Elephas maximus indicus: one gene and its partners. The protein of the gene in region 1 purifies or fractionates together with the protein of each later gene. This does not show direct contact. Links are inferred from orthologs where the notes say so. Each region holds a gene or a part of one and is shown in the gene's direction. Other genes may lie near its edges.

What was found.
Region 2: the proteins of CSNK1D (region 1) and AKAP9 purify together in Homo sapiens (affinity purification with mass spectrometry; 4 studies listed by BioGRID and IntAct, counting the BioPlex papers as one, with this or other methods). This does not show direct contact. The link is inferred for Elephas maximus indicus from reciprocal best matches to the Homo sapiens genes CSNK1D and AKAP9.
Region 3: the proteins of CSNK1D (region 1) and PER1 purify together in Homo sapiens (affinity purification with mass spectrometry; 4 studies listed by BioGRID and IntAct, counting the BioPlex papers as one, with this or other methods). This does not show direct contact. The link is inferred for Elephas maximus indicus from reciprocal best matches to the Homo sapiens genes CSNK1D and PER1.
Region 4: the proteins of CSNK1D (region 1) and FAM83D purify together in Homo sapiens (affinity purification with mass spectrometry; 4 studies listed by BioGRID and IntAct, counting the BioPlex papers as one, with this or other methods). This does not show direct contact. The link is inferred for Elephas maximus indicus from reciprocal best matches to the Homo sapiens genes CSNK1D and FAM83D.

Annotation. Positions count from the first base shown.
Region 1 is NC_064837.1:72,069,114-72,076,319, reverse strand, and holds the start of CSNK1D (casein kinase I), read left to right. Parts: upstream 1-4,203; 5' UTR 4,204-4,801; coding exon 4,802-4,895; intron 4,896-7,206. UniProt on the Homo sapiens protein: Essential serine/threonine-protein kinase that regulates diverse cellular growth and survival processes including Wnt signaling, DNA repair and circadian rhythms. It can phosphorylate a large number of proteins.
Region 2 is NC_064826.1:61,954,016-61,961,823, forward strand, and holds the start of AKAP9 (A-kinase anchor protein 9), read left to right. Parts: upstream 1-4,800; 5' UTR 4,801-5,016; coding exon 5,017-5,064; intron 5,065-7,808. UniProt on the Homo sapiens protein: Scaffolding protein that assembles several protein kinases and phosphatases on the centrosome and Golgi apparatus. Required to maintain the integrity of the Golgi apparatus. Required for microtubule nucleation at the cis-side of the Golgi apparatus.
Region 3 is NC_064837.1:12,620,681-12,627,874, forward strand, and holds the start of PER1 (period circadian protein homolog 1), read left to right. Parts: upstream 1-4,190; 5' UTR 4,191-4,290; intron 4,291-4,504; exon of another isoform or gene 4,505-6,641; intron 6,642-6,649; exon of another isoform or gene 6,650-7,194. Other genes in the region: VAMP2 (vesicle-associated membrane protein 2), read left to right, coding at 1-24, 119-238. UniProt on the Homo sapiens protein: Transcriptional repressor which forms a core component of the circadian clock.
Region 4 is NC_064843.1:30,577,827-30,585,255, reverse strand, and holds the start of FAM83D (protein FAM83D), read left to right. Parts: upstream 1-4,424; coding exon 4,425-4,901; intron 4,902-7,429.

The DNA of each region.
Region 1 (7,206 bases):
GTGAATATACCATAATTTATTTATCCATTCATTCATTGATCGTCACCTTGGTTGCTTCCATTTTTTTGCTATTGTAAACAGTGCTACAATGAACATGCGTGTGCATATATCTGTTCATGTAAATGCTCTTATTTCTCTAGGATATATTTCAAGGAGTGGAATTGCTGGATCATATGGTAGTTCTATTTCTAGCTTTTTAAGGAAGCACCAAATCGATTTCCAAAGTGGTTGTACCATTTTACGTTCCCACCAGCAGTGTATAAGTGTTCCAGTCTCTCCACAACCTCTCCAGCGTTTATTATTCTGTGTTTTTTGGATTAATGCCAGCCTTGTTGGAGTGAGATGGTATCTCATTGCAGTTTCGATTTGCATTTCAGAAACCCTGGTAGTGTAGTGGTTAAGTGCTACAGCTGCTAACCAAAAGGTCGGCAGTTCAAATCCGCCAGGTGCTCCTTAGAAACTCTACAGGGCAGTTCTACTCCGTCCCATAGGGTCGCTATGAGTCGAAATCAACTCGGTGGCAGTGGGTTTTAATGGCTAATGATCGTGAGCATTTCCTCATGCATCTGTTAGCTGCCTGAATGTCCTCTTTGGTGAACTGTCTGTTCATATCCTTTGTCCATTTTTTAATTCGGTTATTTGTCTTTTTGTTGTTGAGTTTTTGCAGTATCATGCAGACTTTAGAGATCAGATGCTGATAGGAAATGTCATAGCTAAAAACTTTTTCCCAGGCTGGACTGCCAGGTGGCCAGGCCTGGTACCTGGATACTACCCCTCCGGGGGCCAGTAGGGATGGTGCCTCCGAGGACCTGCAGACGCCCGGTGGCGTGGGTCCAGGGCTGGAGAGACAGACTCCGGCTCTCTCCTCATCCTGCAAAAGGGCAGTGTCAGGTCTTTTGACTCTTTTGGTGAAGTGTTTGGATGAGCATAGGTGTTTAATTTTTAGGAGCTCCCAGTTATCTAGTTTCTCTTCTGGTGTTTGCACATTGTTAGTAATGTCTTGTATACTGTTTACACCATGTCTTTATCATTTTAGACTTTATATTTAGGTCTTTGATCCATTTTGAGTTAGTTTTTGTGCATGGTGTGAGGTATGGGTCTTGTTTTTTTTTTTTTTTTTTGCAGATGGATATCCAGTTATACCAGCACCATTTATTAAAGAAACTGTGTTTTCCCCATTTAACTGACTTTGGGCCTTTGTCAAATATCAGGTGTTCATATGTGGATGGATTTATGTCTGGATTCTCTGTTCTACTCCATTGGTCTATATATCTGTTGTTGTACCAGTCCGAGGCTGTTTGGACTACTGGACTTCCAACTATTTTTGGTGAGGGCTGCATGCCTGAGGCTGAAGGCAGAGACGGGAGACTTCCAAGTGGGAAAAGGCAGCTCTGCTGTGTGCCAGGGGCCAGCGCACCCTCCATGCCCTCTCTTTAGCCTCTGTGAACCCTGTGCCCAGCGGGATGCCTGCTGGATGTTTAGGAGTGCGTTTCATCAACCCATTTCATGGTTCTTTTTTAGCTGGGGGTTGGCGGGGAGGGGCGGGTTATTCAATAGGAAAGGTAAGCACGTTTTTCTCACCACATCAAACTTTGTGCTTCTAGGTGTGGCTGGCATCTGTCTCTCTCCCAACCCCACAGCACCTTCCTACAAAGCCTCTTTTCAAACTTATAATCCCTGACAGAGACAGATAACCCAATCACCCGTGTGAAATTGTTCACTACACATTAGTAAGCAAGCATAAGTAAGCCTGTGCTTACCTTGCTTACTGGGTCATCTGCCCCTGGAGGTGTCTACAGAAGCTTGCTTGGGCTTGGGGGCCACTCTGGTAGGCTGTTCCCAATGGTCCGAGTCAAGAGTTCCAACTTGGTGCCTGAGCATCCTGCACTATTTTGCAATTAAAAATATCCAGATGCAGGCAGATGAGGTAAAGATGCTCACTTGGGGCCCAGGCAATGGCACTGGAGAGGTGGTGTCAGCTCGCCCTTTGGAGGCCTGCTTGCATCAACCCAGCCTTCACCCAGTAGGGCCCCCTGACCTGGGTCCTGGGTGGCCTACTCCTCCCTTTGCTTTATATCTGAGTTCCAGGGGTGTAGGAGGTGTTAGAAGGCTACAGGCACTCAATTCCCAAGCCCCCTAAATCCAGAAACTGGCATCTCCTGGAGGGACGGACCAGTAGATGTCCCTGGCAGGACCACAAGGCCAGCGCACACCTGCATCCCGCCTGGGTGCCTCAGCGGACCTGCCGACCCCGGTGGCGCAGGTCCAGGGCTGGAGGGACAGACTCTGGCCCTCTCTAAAAAAAAAAAAACTAGTGCCATCTCTGCATCCCGCAAAAGGACAGCGTTAGGGCCCCGCCCAGGTCTGTCCGTAGGATCCCCAGGCTTCCTAGACCTGCCGGGGGCACACAACGCCCCAGCGCGAGCACGTGGAGCCGGTGCGCAGGATGGGTCTGGGGGCGGGGCGAGGAAGGAGCCCCAGGAGGAGGCTTCAGTGCGCTCGCCCCGCCCAGACGCCCCCCACCCCGCCCTGTCCGGATGCCCAAAGCCCCCTGCCCCGGCCCGCCCAGGTGCCCAAGCTTCCTGCCCCACCCTTTCCCCATGGCCAAAGCCCCCACCTCACCCTGATCAGATGCCCTAAGCGTCCCCCCCATTCCACCCTATCCCAAGGCCTGTACCCCCAGCCTCACCCTGATCAAAAGTCCATACCCTGGGTGGGAGAGGAGTATTCACTAGTTAGATAGTAGATAAGAACTACTTTAGGTGACAGGAAAGACAACACACAATACAGGTGAGGTCAGCACAACTGGACTAAACCAAAAGGAAAGAAGTTTCCTGAATAAACTGAATGCTTTGAAGGCCAGCGTAGCAGGGGCAGAGTTTGGGGACCATGGTTTCAGGGGACATCTAAGTCAAATGGCATAATAAAACCTATTAAGAAAACATTCTGCATCCCACCTTGGAGAGAGGTGTCTGGGGTCTTCAACGTTAGCAAGCGCCCATCTAAGATGCATCAATTGGTCTCAACCCACCTGGAGCAAAGAAGAATGAAGAACACCAAGGACACAAGGTAATTATGAGGCCAAGAGACAGAAAGGACCACAGAAACCAGAGAGTACAATCAACCTGAGACCAGAAGAGCTAGATGGTGCCCGGCTACAACCAATGACTGTCCTGACAGGGAACACAACACAGAACCCCTGAGGGAGCAGGAGAGCAGTGGGATGCAGACCCCAGATTCTCATAAGACCAGACTTAATGGTCTGACTGAGGCTAGAAGGACCCCGGTGGTCATGGCCCCCAGCCCTTCTGTTGGCCCAGGACAGGAACCATCCCTGAAGCCAACTCTTCAGACATGGACTGGACTGGACATTGGGTTGGAGAGGGATGCTGGTGAGGAGTGAGCTTCTTGGATCAGGTGGACACTTGAGACTATGTTGGCATCTCCTGCCCAGAGGGGAGATGAGAGGGTAGAGGGGGTTAGAAGGTGGAGAAATGGACACGAAAAGAGAGAGTGGAGGGAGGGAGCGGACTGTCTCATTAGGAGGAGAGCAATTGGGAGTAAGTAGCAAGGTGTATATAAGTTTTTGTGTGAGAGACTGACTTGATTTGTAGACTTTCACTTAAAGCACAATAAAAATTTTAAATAAAGTCCATACCCAAAGCCCCCTCCCGCCTCGCTCCGACCCCGCCCCTCGAGCGGCGCGGCCCCGCCCCTCCGTGTTGCCAGGGGAAGTGACGTCACAGCGCCATGGCGGCGGCTCTCTTAGGCAGCCGAAGGGGGATTTAGGCCCGGAAGATCCGAGTCCATCCGCGGCGGGGAGAGGACCACAGGGGCCGGCAGGGGCCGGAGCAGGGGCGGCGGCACTCGGACTGTCCCATCCGTCCCGTATTGAGGCGCTGGGAGCGGCGGGGAGGCCGGAAAGCGATGGTGAAAGCGGGGCCGTGAGGGGGGCGGAGCCGGGAGCCGGACCCGCAGTAGCGGCAGCAGGGGCGCCGCCTCACCGGAGCTCAGACCCAGGAAGCGGCCGGGAAGACAGGAGCGAGCCGGGCCGCAGTCATGGAGCTGAGAGTCGGGAACAGGTACCGGCTGGGCCGGAAGATCGGCAGCGGCTCCTTCGGAGACATCTATCTCGGTGAGGCCGCGGCGCCCCCCTGCCGCCCCCCGCGCCCCTCCCCCGCCCCGGGAGCCGACCCCAACCCGGCGTTCGGCCCCCGAGGGCGAGCCCCCGGCCCCGAGGGCGCCGGGGCGGGGCGCCGGGGTCCGGGGCCTCGCGGGGGGACTCCTGTCCGCGCCCGGTTCACTGGGTTCGCCCCGTGTCAAGACCCCCCACCCCCCGACAGCTCGAGACCGAGCTTGGCGTCCAAGAGGCCGGAAAAGGGGGCTCCGCTGGCCGGGCGCGGGAGCTGGGGGCGCTTGTAGGGCCTGGTGGCCGAGGAGGCGGGGGCTGCCCGTGTTCCGGCCCTAACCCCCGCCCGGCCCCAGTCTCGGTCCCCGGCCCTGACCCCCGCGCAGTCCCGCCCTCGGTCCCGGTCCCTGACCCCCGCCCGGCCCCGCTCTCGGCCCCCGCGCCCCGAGTCCCAGTCGCCGGCCGGAAGTAGCTGTGCCGCGGGTGGCGTGGGCAGGGCCTGGACAGCTGCGGCCGAGAGGGGCAGCGCCCCGTGGGAGTCTCGGGCGTCGGCGAGCTCCCGAGGCGCTGTCCCCCCGGCCACCTTGCGGCCTTGTAGGGTCGGGCTGTGCTCGTCCCCACGCCCTCCTGTCGCCTACAAGTAAAGGCCACGGCTCCTTCTCCGCAGCCCCCATGGGGCTCACGGCTGCGTCTCACACACGTGGGGAAAATGTCAGAACAACTGGAATGCGGTTGGAGGTGGGACATCCTGTGGCTGTGTTCCTAGGTACTCTGGTTTCTTGTTGCTTTATACTCCTGCCTTTTGCAGGATGGGCCTCGGTGGGTCCTCTCTGGGCTGTGACCTTAGTTCCCCTGAGACTGGAGGGAGGCTTTGAGAGCACTCTTGTTTGCATCTTAGCCCAGCGTAGGGGCTCGGGGTGACCGCTGAGGACAGGTTGAGCATCAAGTGAGGCCAAAGCAAGGTGCCTAGAGGTGAAGAGTTAGGTTACTGTGGACAAAGTCAGGCTGATAAAGTAGGAAGAAAGTTGTGTTTCTGAGCCTGGCATTTGGCTGTTGGGATGCTCAGAAACCAAACCCATTGCTGTGGAGTCAATTTTGACTCATGGCAGCCCTATAGGACAGAGTAGGACTGCCCCGTAGGGTTTCCACGGAGGGGCTGGTGGATTTGAACTGCTGACCTTTTGGTAAGCAGCCAAATGCTTAACCATTGCGCAACCAGGGCTCTAGAATTTTCAAGCTTCAGCTGAAGTGTTTGGGATTTTTAAAAAAGCACGTATATACACAGGCTTATGATAAAAGAATGGCTGAAATCTTAAAGTTGGGAATTGAAAAATAACCAAGTTTTTCTGCATTTTCCCAAGCAAGCATGTTGTGTCTAAGCTTCTCAAGCTTCCTGAACTTGAGAACATGAGCCTGGCGTGCCGGCAAGTGTGCAGAAGAATTGTTGCATAACCTCAGGGTAAACATGGCCTGTTGTTGAGCAGCCCGCTTTGGCTGTTCTGTTTGGCTCGTGTGCCTGTTAGGGAGGGCCAGGAACCGCTGTCTTCTTCCTGGGTGTACAGTGATTCTCTGTTGGCTTTTCAGACTAGCCAAGTCTGTGCTGACACCCCCACCCTCCCCTTGTTACTGAGGAGGAGATCCAAGACCTTGTGGCTAACATGTTTGGGGAGCTCCCCCACTGCTCTTGGTGCCTGGTTAACCTCCAGGGTAACTCATCATGTGCTGGGTGGATGCCTGTGGGCCATACTTCTGCCTTACTGGCCTGCTAAAGAAAGGCTGCTGTAGAGATGCTTGGATTTTGCTGTTTAAATATTTATACCGAAGGAGTCATTGGGTGCGTTCTCAGCCTGTTTGGGAGTGCAGTGCTGGGTAAATGCAAGCTGTTTGCCTTATTTATGGAGGAGATCTTGGCAAAAGTCTTAATCTCAGATCTGGGAGCTGTACTGAAAAGCCAATGCATTATCCAGCCTTACACGGGCATCAGAAGTAGATGATTTGAAACTTTTTGTTCTCTGATCTGAGATCTTGCCAAACAGCTTTGTGCTTTCAGAAGATAAATTCAGACCATTAAGTTGCCGAATTGTTTTCACTGAGTCGTTCACAGAGGGGTGCCCTCTTCTCACAGGGCTGGAAGCTTGGAGCGGGAACCCTGTCTGCTTATTTGCCGTGGTGTCCTTTGGGCCTCCCTCATATTAAACCCAGCGTGGGTGTTTAATACAGGTGGGGGATGGGCCCCGAGGGGTCTGTTCTCAGGCTTCTCCTCTTTGTGTGTTCTGAGGTGGTGCACTGTGGCTCCCGGACACTTGGATTGGCACACCTAGGCAGCCCATGACTTGTGTGGGCCTGTTGTCGTAACGTGCTGTCAAGTTGGTTCCAATTCATGGTGACCGTATAGGACAGAGTAGAACTATCCCTATAGGGTTTCTAAGGAGTGGCTGGTAGATTTGAACTGCTGACCATTTGGTTAGCAGCTAGGCTTTTAACTATTGTGCCACCAGGGCTCCTGTCTGGGGCTAGGCAGGACGGATTAATTTCTAGTTAGTCAGCATTGGTTTTGGCTCACAGTCTATGTTCTTGGAGGCTACATGCTGCCCCACCAAGGAAATGTGAAGAGATCTTGTTAGCTTGAGTAAGACATGGCTAGGTCAGTTGGTTAGAGCAAAATCATCATATACTGTGGTGAAGAGTCCAAGAGGCTGGGCCAGCACTGTGAGGTACATTGAGTCATCCATGTTATTGGTTCCCATTCGTGTAGGCAGTTAGGCAATTGAGTTGGGGCCTCATCCTGAAAAGCTGGTCATAGGAATTTAGTAAGATTCTGGTTAAAAGCATTCCTGTTGCCGCCACTCTGACATTAGATAGCTCTGAACTGCTCAAGGTAGGGTTCACCTTGTTTTGAGACTGGCATTCCAGGCTTTGGGGGTCTAGCTCGGACTTCAGTGCTTGTAGGTGTTTGCAAATGTGGGGAGGGGAGTCTGTCCCTGTGTTTGCTGAGCACTTTGTGAGCAAGAAGACCCAGTGCTGGCCGACCTTCTCTAGCTGCCTGCTGTGCAGATGGAGCTTGAGGGAGGGCCACA
Region 2 (7,808 bases), on another chromosome or scaffold:
TCACTGTACCAAAAAGAATTGATCGACATACAACTATTGGTCAACCTTTCAGGAGGTAGCATATGATCGAAAACCGATGGTACTAAAAGCAGCAGCCCAAGCTGCACTGAAACCATTGGCAAAAAACAAGGATCAAGGAATTGATGGAATACCAACAGACGGATGCAATGCTGGAAGCACTCTCTTGTCTATGCCAGGATATTTGGAAGTCAGCTACCTCGCCAACCGATTGGAAGAGATCCATATTTGTGCCCATTCCAAAGACAGGTGATCCAACAGAAACATTTGCAGCTGTACATCAACAAGGACCTGCTAGAAATTCTAGCCCAATTCAGAAGAGGACCCAGAACAAGGGATATCATTGCTGATGTCAGATGAATCTTGGCTGAAAACAGGGAATACCAGAAAGATGTTTACTTGTGTTTTATTGACTATGCAAAGACATACAACTGTGTTGATCATAACAAATTATGGATAACATTGTGAAGAATGAGAATTCCAGAATACTTAATTGTGCTCATGCAGAACCTGTACATAGACCAAGAGGCATTTGTTGGGGATACTGCATGGTTTAAAATCAGGAAAGGTGTATGTCAGGGCTCTGTCCTTATACCACATTTATTCGATCTGTATGCTGAGCAAATAATACGAGACACTAGACTATATGAAGAAGATCATGGCATCAGGATGGGAGGAAGACTTATCAACAACCTGCGATATCCAGATGACACAACCTTGCCTACTGAAAGCAAAGAGGACTTGAAGCAATTACTGATGAAGATCAAAGAATATAGCCTTCGGTATGGATTACACATCAACATAAAGAAAACAAAAATCCTCACAACTGAACCAGTAAGCAAAACCACGATAAATGGAGAAAAGATTGAAGTTGTTAAGGATTTCATTTTGCTTGGATCCACAATCAACACCCACGGAAGCAGCAGTCAGGACATCAAAGTACAAATTGCATTGGGCAAATCTGCTGCAAAAGACCTCTTTAAAGTGTTGAAAAGCAAAGAATGTCAAGGTGAGGCCTAAGGTGTGCCTGACCCAAGCCATGATATTTTCAATTGCCTCATATGCATGAGAAAGTTGTACAATGAATAAGGAAGACCCAAGAAGAATTGATGCCTTTGAATTATGGTGTTGGTGAAGAATATTGAATATATCATGGAGTTCCAAAAGAATGAACAAATCTGTCTTGGAAGAAATATAGCCAGAGTGCTCCTTGGAAGGAGGATGATGAGACTTAGTCTCACGTACTTTGGACATGTTATCAGGAAGGATCAGTCCCTGGCGAAGGATATCATGCTTGGTAAAGTAGAGGGTCAGTGAAAAAGAGGAAGACCCTCAATGAGATGGATTGACACAGTGGCTGCAACAGGCTGAAGCATAACAAGCATCAGGCAGTGTTTTGTTCTGTTGTACATAGAGTGGCTATGAGTCAGAACCAACTGGACAGCACCTAACAAGAACAACAACAATCTTTACGGAAGCCGACTGCCCCATCTTTCTCTCACAGAGCGCCTGGCAGGTTTGAACCACCAACCCTTTCAGTTAGCAGCACAGCGATTTATTCACTATGCCTCCAGGGCTCCAGGAACTCAAGGCGATTTCCTTAAAAAAGGGTTGTAAGCATAGTGGGTACTTAAAGTTTCACAGACTCTTGGCTGAAACAGAAGAGACACTTAAGGATTAATTACTTGATATTTCTTTTCATATTTAAACTAAATGTATTTTTACTGTAAACACTATATGGACCCTTGATACAACTCTTTTGGGGGCTCACTTAGTTTACATTCCATGACTGTTTGGCAATATGAAAATCCTTCAAGGTGATGTCAGTATATATTTTATTACTCAGTAATCCAGTGCAGTGTCTTGAATTACAGGTTTATAATTCCTTATCATGATAATAGTAACATCTTAGATTTTTTTAACAGTTCATTAGATTATAAGCCACTTCAAATGTGTACTAGTTTCCTAAGTCATGAATTACATTTTCAAAAAATGTTATTGTGGCAAAATACGTATAACAAGTTTGTCATTTTAACCATTTGTAAGTGGACAATTCAGTGACATTACATTCAATATGTTGTGCTACCTTCACCACTTGCCGTTTCCAAAATTTTTTCAGCACACTAAAGAGAAACTTGTAAACCCTGGTGGCGTAGTGGTTAAGAGCTATGGGTGCTAACCAAAAGGTCAGCAGTTCAAATCCACCAGGTAGTCCTTGGAAATCCTATGGGGCATTTCTACTCTGTCCTATAGGGTCACTATGAATTGGAATTGACTAGACGGCAATGGGTTCGTGTTTTTTTTTTTTTTTTTTTTTGGTTTTAAAGAGAAACTCAGTACCTCTTCAGCAATAACTGACTCCTATTCCCTCCAGAACAGGCAAATTTCTATGCATTTGCCTATTCTGGATTTTTCATATAAGTGGGATCAGAGAATAATTTGTCCTTTTGTGTCTGACTTATTTCACTCAGTATAATGTTTTCAAGGTTCATCCATGTCAGAACTTCATTTCTCTTTATGACTGAATAATATTCCATGGCATGTAGGTATATATCACATATTGTTTAATGGACACTTGGGTTGTTCCTACCTATGCATTATTTTTTGAAATCTTAACACCAACAAATTTGTCATAAGTGTTATTTAACACATTCTGTTTTTGTATGCATATTTTTATTCTAGTACTCATTTTGTTTGGAAAGCAGTTTAGTAAAATGGAGTAAGACTTGAGTCAGGAAGTCTGGATCTTAATCCAGCCAGGACTTTTGCTACCCAACCATGGGAAGTCAAGCAAGTCATTTTAAATGATTAAAATGACCATTCAGGCCTTCATAAAATATGGAAGAAAAATCACTATGCTCCCTCCTATTTTCTTTATTTATATACCATTGGTGCCCTGGTGGTGCAGTCATTAAAGAGCTAGGCTCCTTACCAAAAGTTTGGCAGTTCAAATCCACCAGCTGTTCCTTGGAAACCCTATGGGGCAGTCCTACTCTGTCCTGTAGGGTCACTATAAGTCAAAATTTATTCAGCAGCAACAGGTTGGATTTTACATACCATTCACCTATATTGTTGTTCTTAGGTGTCATCAAGTTGGTTTTGATTCATAGTGACTCCAGATGACAGAGTAGAACTGCCCCATAGGGTTTCCTAATCTGTAATTTTTTTTCTTTTTACTGGAGGATCCCTGGTGGTGCAATGGTTAAGTGCTCAGCTGTTAACTGAAGGGTTCTTGGTTTGAACCTTGGAACCGCTCCTTGGGAGAAAGAAGTGACGATCTGCAGTGGTAAAGATTGCAGCCTTGGAAAACCTATGGGGCATTTCTACATGGTTCTATGTTGTTGTTGTTGTTAGGTGCTGTTGAGATGGTTCCGACTCATAGTGACTCTATGTACCACAGAGGAAAACACTGCCCAATCCTGTGCCATGCTCACAATCCTTATGCTTGAGCCCATTGTTGCAGCCACTGTGTCAACCCATTTCACTGAGGGTGTTCCTCCTTACCACTGACCTTGTACTTTACCAACCATTGTGTCCTTCTCCAGGGACTGATCCCTCCTGATAACATGTTCAAAGTACGTAAGATGCAGTCTCGCCATCCTTCCTTCTAAGGAGCATTCTGGTTGTACTTCTTCCAAGACAGATATGTTCATTCTTTTGGCAGTCCATGGTATATTCTGTATTCTTCGCCAACAACATAATTCAAAGGTGTCAGTTCTTCGGCCATCTTTATTCATTGTCCAGCTTTCACATGTGTATGATGCGATTGAAAATACCATGGCTTGGGTCAGGCACACCTTAGTCTTCAAGGTGACATCTTTGCTCTTCAAAACTTTAAAGAGGTCCTTTGCAGCAGATCTGCCCAATGCAATGTGTCTTTTGATTACTTGACTGCTGCTTCCATGGCTGTTGATTGTGGATCCAAGTAAAATGAAATCCTTGACAACTTCAATCTTCTCTCCATTTATCATGACGTTGCTTGTTGGTCCAATTTTTGTTTTCTTTATGTTAAGGATTTTTGTTTTCTTTATGTTGAGGTGCAATCCATACTGAAGGCTGTGGTCTTCGCTCTTCACCATCAAGTGCTTCAAGTCCTCTTCACTTTCAGCGAGTAAGATTGTGTTATCTGCATATTGGAGGTTGTTAATGAATTTTCCACTAATCCTGATCCCCTGTTCTTCTACATACAGTCCAGTTTCTTGTATTATTTACTCAGCATACAGATTGAATAGGTACAGTGAAAGGATACAACCGCCAGGGCTATCACCACTTTTCCTCCGGGGATTTTCAGCGTTTATCAGTTTCACCCTGGTGGCACAGTGGTTGAGTGCTAGGGCTGCTAACAAAAAGATCAGTTGTTCTAATTCACCAGGCGCTCCTTGGAAACTCTATGGGGTGCAGTCCTATTCTGTCCTGTAGGGTCTCTATGAGTCGGAATGGACTTGACGGCAACGGGTTTTAAAAGCGACCACTGAGTCCGTAGGACGGCGAATGGGGGCCGGGCTGGGTACCCTCTGTCAGACCTCGTCCTCACCCCACCCACCCCCAACCCCGCCGCAACCTGGGAGCCGTTCATCCCTGGTGAGGACCAGGAAGGTCTAGGGTCGGGAGGGCGCCGTCTCCCGCCCGCCCCTCGCCGGTAGGTGGCGGGGGTTGCCGGCCGGGGTCGCTCCCAGGGCGGCGCGCGGCTCAGGGCCGCGGGCGCACCTGCCTGGTGCGGCGAGGCTCGCGGCGGCTGCGCGGACTGACGTGCCCCCCCTCCCGCCCGGCCGCGTGTTTACGTGGAGACGAAGATGGCGGCGGTGGTGACGGCGCTGCCCGTGCGGTCGAGGACTACCCACCAGTGAGCGCGGAGACTTGTTCGACTCGGGGCGGGGAGCGCTGGGCCCGGCCCTGCTCCTTGGGCCCCGGAGCTGGCCGGGACCTCCGTCTGAATCGACCTTTCCTTTCTACCCTCGATCCCTTTCCCGTCTTCCCCCACCCTTCTCCGCAGAGGCCATGGAGGACGACGAGAGACAGAAGAAGCTGGAGGCCGGCAAAGCGAAGGTAGGAAAGCCGGGCGCAGCCGGGCCCGCGGTGGGAGGCGGCGCCTGGAAAGGGGTGGTGGAGGGGAGCCTGGGAAGCGGAGATCGCAGCAGCCCCAGTGCGCTCGCTGCCTGGGAGGAAGGTGCTGCAGGGTCTTTATTTCCCCCCGCCACCCTCTCCCCTTTTTCCACAGGAGAAAAAAGCCCTGTGCTACCATCTAGCAAATTAAAAAAAATGCTTCCGTAATGATTGGATCGTGTGGCTCTTTCTCGTGAATGCGCAAATGAAACGCCTCTTTTACTATATTGCTATTAGCTAGTATGTATTGCCTCTAAATCTCCAGCTTTTCACTCTTTTAGGTTGTTTTCTGGGTGGTGCAGGCATTGTGCTTTTCTGGGTGGGGATTTGGGGCTTTATTCGGTGGGGGATTTGTGCGCTGATCATCAGCTTGGCTTCTTTAGGTGGCACGCTGGCACTCTTGGGTGTGTGTGATTGGCCTGTGACAGCTGCCACAGCAGTGGCTTGAGGGTGCCACAAGTGCCAGCTGTGAACTTCGCTTTAGGGGCGTTTTTAGAAGCGTGCTTTATATGTTTGCGTTTGGAGGTCTTTGTCATGGCATGCGCTTTTGTATTGTGTGGAATGTTAATGCAGTCTGTGAATGGAAAGATTCCATATCCTCAGCAATAGCTATAGAATTCCTGCTTTAAATACTGTTTTAACGGTTTGTTGTGTTTGTCTGGGTGAGTCGCGATTGTGTGTGTGTGTATGCATGTATGAAAAAGCCTGTAAAGAACACAGTATAAAACTATAAATATATCACTCATTGGGCATCATGAAAAAATTGACATAGACAAAATAGAAATTAAATAGCATTTTTCTTTAAAAAATTACATGTTTGAGCATATCATTTGTCCTCAAAGGTCCTCTTCTCCCTACAATGGAGCTACCTTTTATAGATTGTTTTAACTGTCTTATTGGAGGTAATTGTTAGCAATCATGATTGAACCACAGTTAAATTATAACATAGTTGGCTGTTTTTTGTTTCTTCCTTCTCTTCTCCAAATAGACAAACAAAGGAAACCTGGTCAATGGTTTTGGTAATCAATGAAGAACCAATACTGCAGAAATGCATTAGTTAGATGCTCAGCCAAATTTGTTAATGAATAAGTATGTGAGCTAACTTCCTATCACTACAATATAGTTCACTTTTTCACATGTTCACTCTAAGGTCAAGGCTTAAGGAGCTATGGTGGCACAGTGGTTCGGCTGCCAACGGAAAGGTCCCTGTTCCAATGCACAGGCCCCTCTGCAGGAGAAAGATGTGGCAGTCAGTCAGCTTCTGTGAAGAGTTACAGCTTGGTGAAGCTACTTGCAGAGATCACTTTTCAGCCAAATAATAGACAGGCCTGTAAAATAAACAGTTAACACCTGTGAGGAATGTGCTCCTTAGAACAACCAACTATATGAGACTAAAAAGAGCAGCATTTGCCCAAAAGCAAAGAAGGGGAGGCGGGAAGGGGCAGGGAAGCCCAACGCATGGAAACAGGAATCCAGGGTGGAAATGGGGAGAGTACTGACACATTGTGGGCATTGCAACCAAAGTCACAGAACAATTAATGTGTGGATTATTGAGTGGGAAACTAGTTTACTATGTAGACTTTCACCTAAAGCACAATAAATTTATTTATTTTTTTTTTTAATTTAGAGCTTAGAAACCCTATGGGGCAGTTCTACTCTGTCCTGTGGCATTGGGTTTGGTTTTTTGGTTAAGGTCAAGGTTTAAGTGCTTATAGGTATATGAGTAGATTATTATTTTAGAATCTATAAATGGAGGGAAAGAGGAATCAGGTCATCTCCAGAAGCCCAAAGTTGATTATATTTGTAAGCAACCTGAGGATCTGAGCAAGCTCTATGCACCCAAGGAAGTGGGACTTAAGTGCGTGCCCCCTTCCAAAAGCGTTGAAGTTCTATTTAGACTTAATTATTGAATCTTGTCTTTTACCTCAGAATTTTTACTGTCTGCCCCCAGAATTATCTTTTCTAATATATGTGAAGCAGTCCTATACAACATAGTTTACTTTGGACAAAAACATCTCAAAATAGAGGACTTATAGTATGGTTGATTTGGCAAAATAGAATTCTAGTTTCTGTGTATACGTGTGTTGTCTTTCAAAATTCTATCTATTGGAGTAAAAATCTTTATATTTCAACTTTAGTTTTTACTGTACAAGGTTATCTTTTTGAGTTGAGCCCAATATTTCTGTTGAGAAGTAGATCTGTGAAACTTGTCAGGCAAGGTATGTTTGCAACATGAGCTTTACAATATAAAAACACTGGAAGCAACCTTCAAAGACAACATTAGGAGATTTTCTAAGTTATTTATAAATGCAGTGGGATAGCTTGTAGCTTTAAAATATTATGAAGACTGGAACATGGAAAATAGAGTGAAAACAGCATTATCAAAAATAGTGTATACATTAGTATTTTAATTATATAATAATGTGTGCTTGCAGATTAGGACCAAAAGACTCTTTTATAAAGGAAAAGCAAATCAGCAAATGTTGAAGTCCTGTCTTATACCAAGGGATGGAAATAGAGAGGTGGCGACACGGTCCCTGCTCTCAAGAGACTTACAGTTTAGCGGGAGAGACAGACCTTGTGTAATAAGTACAATGACAGAAAAGGTGCATTAGGATTTTGGGTTATTTTTTTCATTTGTGAGAATGTGTTAAATGCCGCTACCTCATCTTTAAGAATATTTTACA
Region 3 (7,194 bases), about 59 Mb from region 1:
AAATACTGGTGGAAAAACCTCAAGGTAAGGGTGGGGGCGGGCTGGGGGGCGGGTAGGAGGGCTGCTGGGCGAATGGGGGTAGCATAGGTTGTCTCATGGACTCCCCTCTTGCCCCCAGATGATGATCATCCTGGGAGTGATTTGCGCCATCATCCTCATCATCATCATCGGTGAGTGGGGAGTGGGTGGCCAGGGCCCTTTCTCTGGAGAGGTTTCCCCTGTGGATCCTGGGTTTTGAAGGTCATTAACATTGTTTTTACTATTCAGCAAAAAACATACATAGCTGCCAGTGGCAGTTCTGATTCATCTAGATCCCCAAACCTGATGTTGTTTAGCCTGCACTTTGCCTGGCTTTGGGCGATTTCTGTTAAGATTTTGGAAACAGGAAAGCTGGTGGATCCCTACTGCTCCCTTGAAGACCCTTTGGGCCTTGAGAGCCCAGGCTGAGTACCCTGGAATTGGGGAGTGGGAGAGCAGGAGAGGCCCAGGAGCTCAAGATTAGAAGCCAACCACCCCACTCTTTGAGAGCTTGTGGGCTCAGAGACCTAGAGGACTAGGGGTCTGTGGTCCCAGGGCCATACCATGGAGTTAAAGGGACCTCAGAAGTTGCCTGTCCAGCTCCTTGCTTTTATAGATGGAGAACCTGAGGCCCAGAGAGGGAAAGGGACGTCAGTCAGCCGGGGAGTGGGGAGGACTGGAGCAGGGCCAGGCCTGACACACTGCTTTCTTTATCTTTCTCTCTCTCTCCCTGCTCCCCCTTCCTCCTCTTTCCCTCTCTCCACAGTTTACTTCAGCACTTAAACCCCTGAGGAGCCTGCCCTGCCCAGAGAGGGGCCTCTCCTCCTCCCCCCAGCCGCTCCTCCACCTCTCAGCCATATCTTCCAGCCCCTCCCCTGAATCCGTGTGTGTGTCTGTGTGTGTCCCCTTGTAAATAGCCAGCTGTTATTTATACATATATAATATTATATATATTTGGTCTGTTTGTAGTTTTATTACTAGAAGATTTTTCCGGTTGTCCTTAACACTCCTTCCTGAGGTTCCCATCACCTCCTCTCTTTCTTTCCTTGCCTTCCCCTCCTTTCCCCCAAGTCCCTTCATTTGCATCTGCTATGCAATAGTCCCTCTTCCTTTCCTTTCCTTTCCTTGGATTTAGCTGATCCTTCTTCCTACCCAGGCCTTCCACTCATCCCCACTCCACCCAGCCCTCCCCTCAAAACAAAGTGCAACTGTCCAGACCTCCCTAGGTGCATCTCCTCTGCATCCATTGGGAGGCTCTGAGACTGGCCCCACAGGGTTCTAAGAATCCCAAGGTCTTCTGGGAAGCTTCCAGCATGTTTATTAGCATATCATTTGCATACTGACATCTCTGTTGGTTTCTTTTTTGTTTCATCACTCTTCACCCATGTTTCTTTTTTACTGAGGAGTCCCCATTGGTTCTCGTATCACGCTTTCATTTTCATGGCATTACTTGCAGGTGGTGGGGAGCCTGAGCTTTTGGGGAACCAGGCTGTTCTGGTCCCCAGAATTGCCCTCTCTTAACCCCTCTAGTCCAGTTTGCCTCCCTTACCCCCATTTTCCAAACCTCTTGGCCCCTCTTCTCCGTTCCCTGGCTGGTGTATGTGTCTTGGAGTTCAGTGTGTTATGACGGACCAATATAATTCTGCCACTCGGGGTCTCTACCCACATTCCTGCTCCCCAGTTTTCGAGTGGGGAGCTCAACTGACATTCCCATGGGGTCTCCCTCCCTCCCATCTGCCTGATTCACCTTCTCCTCCCACCAGGAGAGTTGGGGGTTGGCCACATCTGATCTCTTTTGGGAGGGGTGGCTACCAGTGTTGAGGGGCTATCATTGCCTTGGGGAGGCATGGGGCAGGGCAGAGAATCCCCTCAATTCCTGCCTAAAATCTCCTCTGGTCCCACCCCTGCTTGGGGGTAGGACTGAAAACCTTTCCTTCTGGGGAGTATTGCCCCCATCACTGCCCAGCTCCTCAGACTGCCCCGCTGGATGCAGGGTGGGAGTACTAGTCACTGCCAATGCGTGTTGGGACTTGCTGGAAGTTGGGGATCCTCTGTCCTCTCCAAGTGGTAGAGCCCAGAGAGAGCGCTGTCCCTTCCTTAGGTGAAGTGGTAGATGAAGGGTCAACTGTCTTTTTAAATGGCACAATTTTAGGGGTCTGAGGGCTCAGTCCCTTAACCTGCCACTGGAGGGGGGCCCCCCAAACTTTTTCTTCCCCCACACTTGAGGTTTTCTGTGGGGGGGGGGAGGAGCAGGGACATCTAAGTTGTGGTGTGAAGGGTAGGGAGAGATGCTGGGGTGGGGGCACTGTGTTCTAGACCCCCCATATTATCCCAGTGTCCCCTGCCCCCCTCTTCCCCTCTCCTGTGCCCCCAATTCTGTGGCGCATCCAGATTGTGAAAATGTACAATAAATGTGTGATGAGTAACCAGGTGGTGTCTGTTTTAAGATCTTTTCTTAACCAGTGGGAAGGATTCTGGATCTGTTGGTATACCTGGAAGATTGAAAAGAAGGGACTGGGCTTTGCAGAAGGGCCCGACCTTGGGCAGTGCAAAGTGTGATTCCCAAGTTGGCCACGTGGGGGGAGCACCAGGAGTTGGTAACGGGGGAAAAATGTTCATGACAGCTGTGTCCCTAAGCCTGGTGAACCGTTCAGGCTGGGAGTCCCAGCTTTCCATCTCCCTATCACCTGGAGCATGCTTCAGCTGTTGGATCCCCTTCTGTCCCTAGATTTAACTCCTAGGTGCCCTGCAGGCACTCCTGTGGCCACTCAAGTATATGACCAGCTTGTCTGAAGCATCTCTTTCTCCTTTGTGTCTAGCACAGTGTCAGCACTCAGAGGCGTTAACAAATACTTGTTGAACTGATTAGCTTAGGGAGACCCACCTGAGCGTGGCCTGGAGCTGGCTTTCGAGGACGTACTACCCCTGCACACCCGCACATTGTGCCGACTGACTGGTGACTCCAGACTCCACACCTAACTCCCATGACGCCCCTATCCGATGTGGTACCCCATCATCCCTGTCCCTAGACACTTCAACAGTGGGTGGGAAGTGCTAGGTAAGCTCTGGAGGGCCGGGCTTCTCTGAGGAACCAGCATTACAGAAAACCTAGATAGCGTTTCCCAAACTTGCCAGCTCCTTCCCTGGAGATTTTGATTCAGCGGTTCTATAAAGCAGCCCAGGTGATTTTTATAGTTAGGTACACAGTCATTATACTGTCCATCATCTATTGAGAGCTTCCTGTGTGCCAGAGACCTCTCAGGGCCATCTACCGAATCCTCCTGGGTTTAGGGTTCCCATAGGTCCTAGAACTCGCTTTCTCTGTGGTATAAGGGCACTGGGCTCAAATCTCAATCCCTCCACTGACTAGTGTGTTACTCTGGGCAGATTATGAAACCTCTCAGGACCTCAGTCTCCTCATTTGTGAGGCGGTGGGTAGTTAGTGAGCCTGCCTTTTTGGGATTTGTGAGAAGCGCCTGGCGCGGCCCACAGAAAGCGCTCAATCAATAGGCAGCTATCATCTTCATGGCCATCCTCATCATGTGGTGCTGAGATCTGAAGACCGCTTCACCCCCTAATGCTCGCATCTTCCAGCTTCCGGACCCTCAAGGACCTAGGGCTGGCGCCCCAGCGCAGGAGGCGGTGTTGTCACGCCCGGCAAGGCTCGACCCCGTCTCGGCACAACGCCCTTTTCCCGATGCCTTCACCTACGCCAACGCCGCTCTCATCTGCGCCTGCGTGTAGGTCACGCTCACTGCGCCTGCGCAGACTTCGCGGTCCAGGCTAGCAGTGTCGTCAAGGAAAATCCCCAGCTTCTAGGTAAACAAGTTGCCGCGTGAGCCCGCCGGCACGTGTCGCCTACATCTCCGAGACCTCTCAGCCTATGAGAAAGCTTGGCGAGCTAGACCGACGTCTGCGTCACCGATCTAGGCGACTCGGGGGTATGTTTCTACAGCCAATGAGAACGTCAGAAGTGAATGGGGGCGTGGTTTCAGGTCAGGCTTCCAATTAACGCGGTGGGGCGGTCCTTTTCGCACGTGGATCTGTCACTGCCTATTGGCAGGCGAACCAATCAGAAGATGACAGCGGCCAGCAGTGCCAATGGAGGCTGTGCGGAGGCCGGGCGGCTGCACGCGGCGCGGGGCATGGGTCGGCTCCCTTAGGCCAATAAGCTTAGAGGGCGTGGCAATCCGGCCGGTGGGCGGGGCTGGAGGAGCAAGTCCTAGTCGCTGGTTCCACTTGAAGGAAATTGAACTCTGTGCGTGCCCAGCGGTGAGTGTCCCGGGGATGAGGACGGCAGTTGGTATCGGTTTTTCCAGGAGGGTGTGTTCTGTCACAAGGGGTGTTAATGGAGTGGAGCATCTGCAAATGCGAACGCCGCGGTGGGAACTCTGATGGTTGTGGGGAATAGGGGCCGCGAACCAGAGAGCTCTGGAAGAACGGGGAGAGGGGAGTTGGGGGGTGGGCGTCTCTCACATTTAATTGCCTTCTGCGCTTCTGAGGGAGCTAAGGTCCCTGCTCCCGGGGAGGGACGGGGGCGGGACCCATGAGAGCTGACGGTGGATGTTTCAGTGCGTGGCCGCTGTTTGGGTAGCTGCCTACGGACTTGAAAGACGCGGGGGTTCTAGTAGGGCGGGAAGGAGGATACCGAAGGGTTGACATGGTGACCTGAGAGAAAGAGTGGTGTAGTGGTTTTTGTGACTGGGCCAGCAGATGTGTACGGTTTGGGAGAGGGGGGAAGCCAGTGCCAGAAGCTGCATATCACGTCTCTGGTCCCTTTGTCATGTGTAAGAGGGAGAGATTGGGCCTGAGAGGCATCCTTGGGGGTAGGGGCAGGAGAACAGCTATGGGGTCTGGAGGTGGAGGATGGGGCTGGGGTTTGTGCAGATCGCCTGTACACGTGTCTTCCTGATCCCTTGGATGTGGGGAGGCACCAATAGCGTGTCTGGTGTCGGTGCAAACAGCCAGGCAATGTGGCGATAAAGTGGCCTGGGGTAAGGTGGGAGAGTGAGGAAGTGGGATCCCAGGAAAGCATTGGGGCTGGTGGCTTCTAGGATGATCTCAAGGACTTCGTGAGCACATGAGAACTGGGGATATGATGTTTAGAAGGGTGTGGGCAGTGCAAACTGAATGTCTGTAGATGGGGCCCAAGGAGGAGAAGGAGGAGGATTGAGTCTGTGTTCTAGACACAAAACTTAGAGTTGGCTTAGAATTTGAGAGACCTAAGTTTCCCAGCGCTGGCGTGCAGCTTAGAGGTTGGGTAATACCTCACCGGTTTCTGGAGGGTTGGAAGCCAGAACGACAAGCCGCTATCAGAACGCAGACTTGAGCTCCTTTTGTTAAGAGCCTGAGAACATTTTATGAGGCAGACAATTGAGGCATTTAGTAACTTCTAAGCCTTTTTTTTTTTTTTAAGCCTTAGTCATTTGCAGTGGAATGGGGATAATACCCATCTCATGAGGTTGTTAACGGAATTAAATAAAATGATATATGTGAAGTGTTTAGCCCAATGCCTGGGCCATGTTTAAAAAAAAAGGTAGCTGAAAAAGATGGCTATAGAGCCCTAATCTTTCTGAAAAAAAGAAAGAAAACCAGTGACAGGGTGAGAGATTTATGTGACTGTTGTGGCTGGGAACTCTTCTCACATTCTCAAGTCTTTTTGGTGCCTCCCTCCCTCTTCCTTGATCCTTCTGGTCCTCAGGCAGCAGCCCAAATTCCCTCATTCCTCCTTCTATTCTTCTCCCAGGATCCAGGCTCCAAGCTGGGCCACTTGCTCTGTCCCAGTTCGATTTCCTCGCCCTATTCACACTCTCCTCCCTTCCCCCCCCCCCCGCTGCCATGGTAACATGAGATTCAGGCTCGGAAAGGGGGCCTCTGGGAGGGAGCAAAGGTACTTGTTCTCTGGCAGAACCTAGGCCTCCAGTTTCCCCGCCCTGACTCTTTGGCATTGGGCCAGCAGATGTGTACAGTTTGAGAGGGGAACCCAGTGCCAGAAGCTGCAGGAACAAGCCGAAGGGAGGGTGGCTGCGAGTCCTGAGAAGAGAGCCAGCGTGTGTGTGTATGGGGGGGGGAACCCCTTTCCTCCTAATCGTCTCTCCAGGAATCCCTGGCTTTGGGACAGAAAGGCTGTCTTTGGCCTGAGGGGAGGCGCCCAGGCTGGGTACATGTCCTGGGCCACCAGCCAAGGGAACATGATGTTCCTAAGTACGCTGGCCGCCGCCCTCGGGCTGGCCGCCTCCCAAACCGCTGCCTCTCCAGCCTCCCTGCCCCACATTCCCGGGCTGCCTCGCCCCGCCTCCTACCTCCGCTTTGACGTCACCACTGCCTCCCGCCCCCTCGCCTCCTTTGACGGCAGCAGGGCCTGGTTACTGTGGGGACCGTGAGGCAGGAAGGCCAAGGCCTTGGGAGCAGGTGGGGGCTGCTGGAGCGCTAAACCCTCTTGCCTTTCCAGAAGATAGATACGGAGGTGGCGTTAGGAGAGCAAGGCCTGCCCGGGTCAGGAGGCACTGAGGGCAGGTTGGGGAAAGATCACACCTAAATCCTTGGGGAGAGCTGAAGAAGAAAAAGGATGTTTCTAGAGAAGAGGTGTCTGAAAGCGAGAGAGCCACAGTCGAGGGGGAGCAGTAAGTATATGAAATGGGGGAAGCATTTTCAAGGAGAGGGGATTGAGCATCCAGGCTCTTGAAGCCTTTGTTCTCTGTGTTTTTCTGCTTCGGTCTTTCTGAGTTGTTTTATAACACCTCTGTATCCCAGCTTTTGCACTGAGCCCTCCTCCGAGCCCCACCCCATGGGGAACACCATTGTTAAGGAAAGCTTAGGCCATGTGACAGTGACGCGAGCACACCCACAGCTGATTATGTCAGCAGCAGCTTGGGGGCCTCTTCACTTGCCACCCACATCCAGGGAACCCTGAGAGGTACTACTCATCACAGTCCTGCAGATCAGGTGGAAGGGGCTGAGGGCTGTATAATGCAGCTCTCCTGGGCCCAGCTTGGCATCTTATTCATCCACATCAGGCCCCTCTTTGCTTTCTAGGACTCGGTGTGCAGCTCCCCCACCTTTTCAGAAATTTTCATATCCTGCCGCTTCTCCATTGCTGAAGCCTCTCCCCTCATCTCTGTCTCTCCTTGTTAACAACAGGATGATCACTTACTATGTGCCAGGTCTTGATCTGGG
Region 4 (7,429 bases), on another chromosome or scaffold:
CCAGGAGGTTGGTGGTTCAAACCCACCAACAGCTCTGCAGAAAGAAGACCCGACCATCTGCTCCCATAAAGATTACAGCCTAGAAAACCCTATGGGACAGTTCTGCTCTGTCACATGCGGTCACTATGAGTAAAAAATTGACTGGAAGGCACCCAACAAAAATATATAGAGAAAAAGAGACACACACATCCTGGGCGATGAGAACTGTTAATGCGTGTGCTCAGCTGCTAACCAAAACGCTGGTGATTTGAGTTCACCCTGAGATACCTTAGAAGAAAGGCCTGGTGACCTACTTCTGAAAAATCAACCACGGAAAACCCCATGGGGCACAGTTCTATTCCGACACACAGGGGACTGCCATGAGTCGGAGTTGACTGGATGCTAACTGGTTGGGTTTTACTTATAACAAAACTGTTGCCGTCAAGCCTATTCTGACTCATAGTGACCCTATAGGACAGAGGAGAACTGCCCCATAGGGTTTCCAAGGAGCGGCTAGTAGATTCGAACTGCCAACTTTTTTGGTTAGCAGCCGAGCTCTTAACCACTGTCCCATCAGGGCTCTGGTTTTATATATGTCGTTAGGTGCCATTGAGTCGGTTCCAACTCTTAGCGACCCTATGTACAACAGAACGAAAACACTGCTATGTCCTGCGCCAACCTCATAATTGTCGTTATGCTTGATCCCATAATTGTAGCTGTTGTGTCAATCCATCTGTTGAGGGTCTTCCTCTCTTTCATTGATCCTATACTTTACCAAACATGATGTCCTTCTCCAGGGACTGGTCCCTCCTGATAATGAGTCCAAAGTACTTGAGACAAAGTCTCTGCAGCCTTGCCTCTGAGGAGCATTCTGGCTGTACTTCGTCCAAGAGAGACTTGTTTGTTCTTCTGGCAGTTCATGGTATATTCAGTATTCTTCACCAACAGCATAATTCGAAGGCATTAATTCTTCTTCCATCTTCTTTATTCATTGTCCAGCTTTCCCATGCATATGAGGTGACTGAAAATTCCATGTTTTGGATCAGTCCTCAAGGTGACATCTTTGTTTTTTAACCCTTTAAAGAGGTCTTTTGCAGCAGATTTGGCCAATGCAAATCGTTTGATTTCTTGACTGCTGCTTCCACAGGCATTGATAGTGGATCCAAGTAAAACGAAAATCCTTGATAACTTCAATCTTTTCTCTGTTTATGACGATGTTGCCTATTGGTCTAGTTGTGAGGATTTTTGTTTCCTTTATTTTTAGGTGTAATGCATACTGAAGGCTGAAGTCTTTGATCTTCATCAGTAAGTGCTTCAGGTCCTCTTCCCTTTCAGCAAGCAAAGTTGTATCACCTGCATAATGCAGATTAATGAGTCTTCCTACAATCCTGATGCCATGTTCTTCATACATAGTCCAGCTTCTTGAATTATTTGCTCAGCATACAGATTGAATAAGTATGGTGAAAGGATACGACCCTGATGCGTATCTTTCCTGACTTTAAACCACCAAGTACCGCTTGTTCTATTGGAATGACTGCCTTCTTGGTCTATGTAAAGGCTCCTTATGAGCACAATTAAGCATTCTGGAATTCCCATTCTTTGAAATGTTATCCATTATTTATTATGATTACACAGTCGAATGCCTTTGCATAGTCAATAAAACACAGGTAAACATTTCTGGTATTCTCTGCTTTCAGCCAGGATCCATCTGACATCAGCAATGATATTCCTTGTTCCACATCCTCTCCTGAATCCGGTTTGAATTTCTGGCAGTTCCCTATTGATGTACCGCTGCAACCAATTTTGAATTATCTTCTGCAAAATTTTACTTATGTGTGACATTAGTGATATTATTCGATAATTTCCTCATTCTGTTGGATCACCTTTCTTTGAATGGGCACAAATATGGATCTTTTCCAGTCGGTTGGCCAGGTAGCTGTCTTCCAAATTTCTTGGCATAGACAAGTGAGCACTTCCAGTGCTGCATCTGTTTGTTGGAACATCTCAGTTGGTATTGCTTCAATTCCTGGAGCCTTGTTTTTCGCCAATGCCTTCAGTGCAGCTGGGACTTCTTCCTTCTTTACCATCAGTTCTTGATCATATCCTACCTTCTGAAGTGTTTGAAAGTTGACCAATTCTGTTTGATGCTTTCTGCATCATTCAATATTTTGCCCATAGAATCCTTCGATATTGCAACTTCAGGCTTGAATTTTTTTTTCAGTTCTTTCAGCTTCAGGAATGCCATGTGGTTCTTCTCTTTTGGTTTTGTAACTCCAGGTCTTTGCACATGTTGTTATAGAAGTTTACTTTGTCCTCTTGAGGTGCTCTTTGAAATCTTCTGTTTAGATATACATCTAAATCTCCCACATTTCAAAGGTTTCTCTAGTGACATATTTATGTATAACAGGGGTGCCCCTCTTCCTTGTTCCCTTTTTGGAGTATATTAACTTGTCCTGTCCCCTTCCCCTCCGCCCCATCCTAGTCCTTATCATATAACTTATACTGGGGAGGTAAAATACTATATAATTCTTCACCTTATTAAAACAATTCAGCACATAAGACCCTGGTTATTTTCATTTTTATTTCAGGGAATAGAGGCATTGACAAGCTACGCAGTTGCATACCCCCTGACCACAGGCCTTGTCCTTGTCATATGCAGAAGTTTATTGGTGTCTCAAAAGAGGATGGAAAGGTGCTCTCTTCCATTCTTCTGGACGTTGGGTTCCAGAGCAGGGACACACAGAAGGCCCCACATGTGGGCTTAAAAAATTCACAGCCAGGCTGGGGATGAAGAGAGGATGGGAAGACAGACATGTCTTAGGAGCGGCTGGCATTCATTCCTTGTAAAAATTTATTGGCTCCTACATAATAAATGATAACTTGGCTCCTACATAATAAATGGTAACCTCTCACGTTTATGAAGCACTTTCCGGTTTTACAGATCCTCTCTTTTACACAAAGAAGATGAGGTCTGACCATTGACTATTGGGTTTAGCAACAGGAAGCTCATTGTTGACCTTGACAAAAGGTTTTGATATAGAATGGTAGGGACAGCAACTAATAATAACTACAAGTAGGGACATAGACTGAAGGTTCAAGTGAGGCTTGGAGGAGGAGAATTGGAGACAGCAAGTACAGACGACTCTTTCAAAGGTTTATGCAGGAAAACGGGAGGTAGCTCTAGAGGGATGTAGAGTCAACAGGGCATTGTTTTAAGACGAAAAGTACTTCAGCACGTTTGTATGCTGATAGGAATGAACCAGTAAAGATGGGAAAACGATGATCCAGGAGAGAATTGCTGGAGAGAGATGGGCTAGTAGTGGATGCGGGGAGCTAGTGCCCAGATGGAAAGGCTGACCTCAGCCAGGCCCACGGACAGTCCTCATAGTAAAAGGAGAGAAAGCAGATTATGTAGGCAGAGATACAGACAGGCAGGGCCATGTGGACATTCTCTTCTGATTGCTTCCATTTCCTCAGTGAAATAGAAAACAAGTTATCATCTGAGAGTCAGAAGGAGAGGGGAAACGGTAGAGTGAATGAAGAGGGAAATCCCAGGCTAGCAGGCAGCCTTAAAGCACCACTTGAAATCACAAAATCATGAATTTAGAGCGGGAGCAGTAAGCACAGTTGTGTGTTTTTCTCCCGCCACGTGTTCAGGTGCAGATGGAAAGTAAACAGAGAGTTGAATTTAACCAATCAGGGTTGGGGATTTGCCAGGCAAAACGATGAAGTTAGAGAAAAACAAGCTACTTGAAGGTGTAATCAAAGGAACGGTTATTACGAGGAACCGGTATTTTTGGCATGAATAAATTGATAATTAAATCCAGGGGATTAAATCCACGGCTGGTCGCACCAAGCTCTGGGATTCTAGGAGCAGCGCGGTCAGCGTGCGCGGGGGCGAGAGGCAGGTGCCAGTCTCTCTTCTAGGTCTAAGCCTGACTGCCCCGTGGCCAGGTAGGAACGAGCTGTGGAGTGGGCCGGCAGGAGGCGCGCTAAAATGGCCAGGGCCGAACCCTCGGGTTCCGCGCCCGGAGCCGCCACCCCGGGCAGCATGCCGGCTCAGGCCTAGGCCGGGCCCTCTCTCTCCAGCAGGTAAGGCGGAATTCTGCCTCCTGCAGACAGCGAACAGTAAACTAAGTTTAAATCCCGCGAAGCAACCAGCAGAGCATGGGCTCGGAAGCAACCGGCAGCCAATACCGAGGCGCGGAGGGAGGGCCGGCCTGTGGGGCAGCCAATAGCACATCAGGGGGCGGGCCCGTGGCGGGGCTTGCTCCGGACCGATTCTGCCTCTGGGTGAAGGGCGGGGCGGGCCAGGATCACAGCCAATGGTAGAGCGGGACGGCGCAGCCCGGCCAATGGCGCGGGCCGATTTGATTCAAAGGTGCCTATAAAGGCAGGCCCGCACGCCCGCACTCACCTGAGCGTGGCTCTTTAAGGTTGCTGCGATGGCTTTGCGGTCCGACGGCCTGGACGAACTGCCCGCCGCCTGCCTGTCGCCGTGCGGGCCGCCCAACCCGGCCGAGCTGTACAGCGAGGCGCGGCGCTTGGCGCTCGAGGAGTTGGTGACCGGCGGCCCCGACGCCTTCGCGGCCTTCCTGCGACGTGAGCGCCTGGGCCGCTTTCTGAATCCAGACGAGGTGCACGCCGTTCTCAGCGCGGCCGAGCGGCCAGGCGAGGAGGGCGCGGTGGCCTGGGCCGAGGACTCCTTCGGCTCGTCCCACGACTGCTCGTCCGGCACCTACTTCCCCGAGCAGTCGGACCTGGAGCCGCCGCTGCTCGAGCTCGGCTGGCCTGCCTTCTATCAGGGCGCCTACCGCGGGGCCACGCGCGTCGAGGCGCACTTCCAGCCGCGCGGCACCGGTGACCGCGGCCCCTATGGCTGCAAGGACGCGCTGCGTCAGCAGCTCCGCTCGGCGCGAGAGGTGAGCGGGCCGCCTCGGCCCCCGTACGGACGGGAGACCCTCCCCAGGAACGGGAAACTGTGGCCTGCTGGGAGCGCGGGCCGGGCCCCGCTCCCTCTGTGCCCTGTGTCTCCCCGCGAATCCCCGATCCCCCGGTCTCTCCTTGTGGCAGCGGAGGATGGGAGTAGCCTCGGTCCCTGGAATGCGAATTGTACCTGGCGCCTGCACCGCTCTCGCTCTCCCCCAACGGGAGTTCTCCCCGGGTTCCAACTCCCAACAGCCATATCCCCTGAGGGAGGGACCAGAAATACTTTCAGTTCCAAATTTCAGATGAAACCAAACCAGATCGCCAGCTTTCCTGGCTGTCAGCCTACAGTAGATCCCACTTTCCGGGGGCTTCTTTTTAGACACATAGGAAAGAAGTGCATTTCCTAGAGAAAGGTTCTTTAGAAATGTATTGACCTTAGAAACTATTATTGCTGGTCACTTCCACTTGCCTTATATTGCAAAAAGCAAATAAATACATGAAAGGCAAAGTAGAGCCCTGCCCCTTCCCCCCCTGCCATATACCTGAGGGGAAGTTGCTTCTTATGTGAATGGATGGGGCAGGGGTTTGGCTTTTCCATAGGCCGAGGCTGCGCCAGTTAGCTGTAACCAGTTGCCATCAAGCTGATTTTGACTCATGGTGACTCCAGTGTGTCAGAGTGGAACTGTGCTCCATAGAGTTTTCAATGGCTGATTTTTTAGAAGCAGATAGCCAGGCCTTTCTTCAGAGGTGCATCTGGGTGGACTTGAATTGCGCCAGCCTCTACCACTGTAAAGGAAACTCTGGTGGTGTAGTGGATAAGTGCTACAGGTGCTAACCAAGAGGTCAGCAGTTTGAATTCTCCAGGCGATCCTTGAAAACTCTATGGGGCAGTTCTACTCTGTCCTATAGGGTTGCTATGAGTGGGAATGGACTCGAGGGCAGTGGGTTTTCATTAAGCAGCCAAATGCATTAACCATTTTCATCACCCAGAAACTCCCAGTTACAAGTGGCCTCCTAAAGTGCAGATACCCCTGCACTGTAGGTCAGCCCCACTGGTCACAGTGTGGTGTGGTTTCGGGGTGCAGAGGGGAGCTCTTGTCTCCCTGCCAGCCAGGATGACACTGCAGCAGGGTGCTGGGCACCTGGGAATCCAGGAGGAAGAATGCAGCATGCAACATGAATTGGGTAGATACACGTGGTGGCAGACACCTTAGTCCAGAGCCGTAATTAGCTGTTCCCTTGCTTGCTGACGGGCAGTGCCCTGCTCTTTGGCTATCTTTCTGGGCCAGGAACGTGGCAGGTAAAGTGAAGGCAGCGGTGAGATACATGACTGGAACCTGCGTGTCTGACCCTGGATTAAAATACCTGTGCAGCTTGTCCGATGGAAATAGCCAAGTCCAGAGCGAACTGTGACCCTCCCGAGTTTCTGATGTTGGTTGTTCTATACCTGACTGCAGAGCCAGAGGTCACAGTGCTAGTGGATACAGTGAGCTAGTGCCTTGCCTTTGGGCGAGTGGGTGTGGGGTCCAGGCTAGGCTAGTATCAAGCCTGTTGTGCATTGAGTGGGCTGAGGACCCTTTTGATACAAAAGACACTTGTGGGTTCAGTGAGAAGATAAAGGATGGAAAAGGCAGAACTGTGGGGGTGGCATGCAATCCCAAAGCTCACCTTCAGGAGGAGAACTTGAGCACTTGGAACTTGAAAAATGTGTTGAACGGGCCTCCCTGAAAGAGAGCTATGGATAGCCCTAGCCTCTTCCCCAGTTCTAATTTTTGGTAGCAGCGAAGCGGGGGCCCTGGAGCTTAAGGGCAGAGGGAAACTGTTCTGAGAACTCACGCCCGGCCTTGGAGGGGGATGGGGCTGAAGCTCAGATTCTTCTTGGTGCTCGGGGCATTTTGAAATACTGACACACTAGGACCTTTCTATCCTGGATAGAACCTCTTGCCCCACGGCTTGCCCTTTTGTGGCCCTAGTCCAGATAGACAGGCTTCTGTCTGAGATTCTGTATTTGGAACCTGGGCAGTATTTTGGTTTGTTTTGTTAGCTAGGGGTTTTTGTGTATAATTTGTTTTACAAACTTTCCTATGTAAAACGGTTGACTGAGCACTTTAAAAACAACATTTTACTGTGTTTTCAGTAAAGGTTTACACAGCAGTTTAAGTTCCCGTGCAACAATTTCTACACACATTGTTCGGTGACATTGGTTGGAACCTGGGCAATTTTAACTGAGAAAGGTGGTACATTGCCTTTAAAGTTAAGTGAATACCTTCAGTGTACCTCCCATATGCCAAATTATTTGCTTACTCAGTACCTGCTACCTGTCAGGCATTGTGGCCAGAGAATGGGGCTGCAGGTGGAGGGCATATCCTTGCCTGCACTTGAGAGTTGAGTCTGCTGGTGGGAGCCTGAAGAGGTTGCTGCAGGCTCTGCTTGGGGGAGAGGGCTGAAGAAAGAAAGCCTCAGGTGTAGTGGTGACTGGGTGCTGGGGTCCAGGAGGATGGGCAGGGCTTGCCAGGCTGAG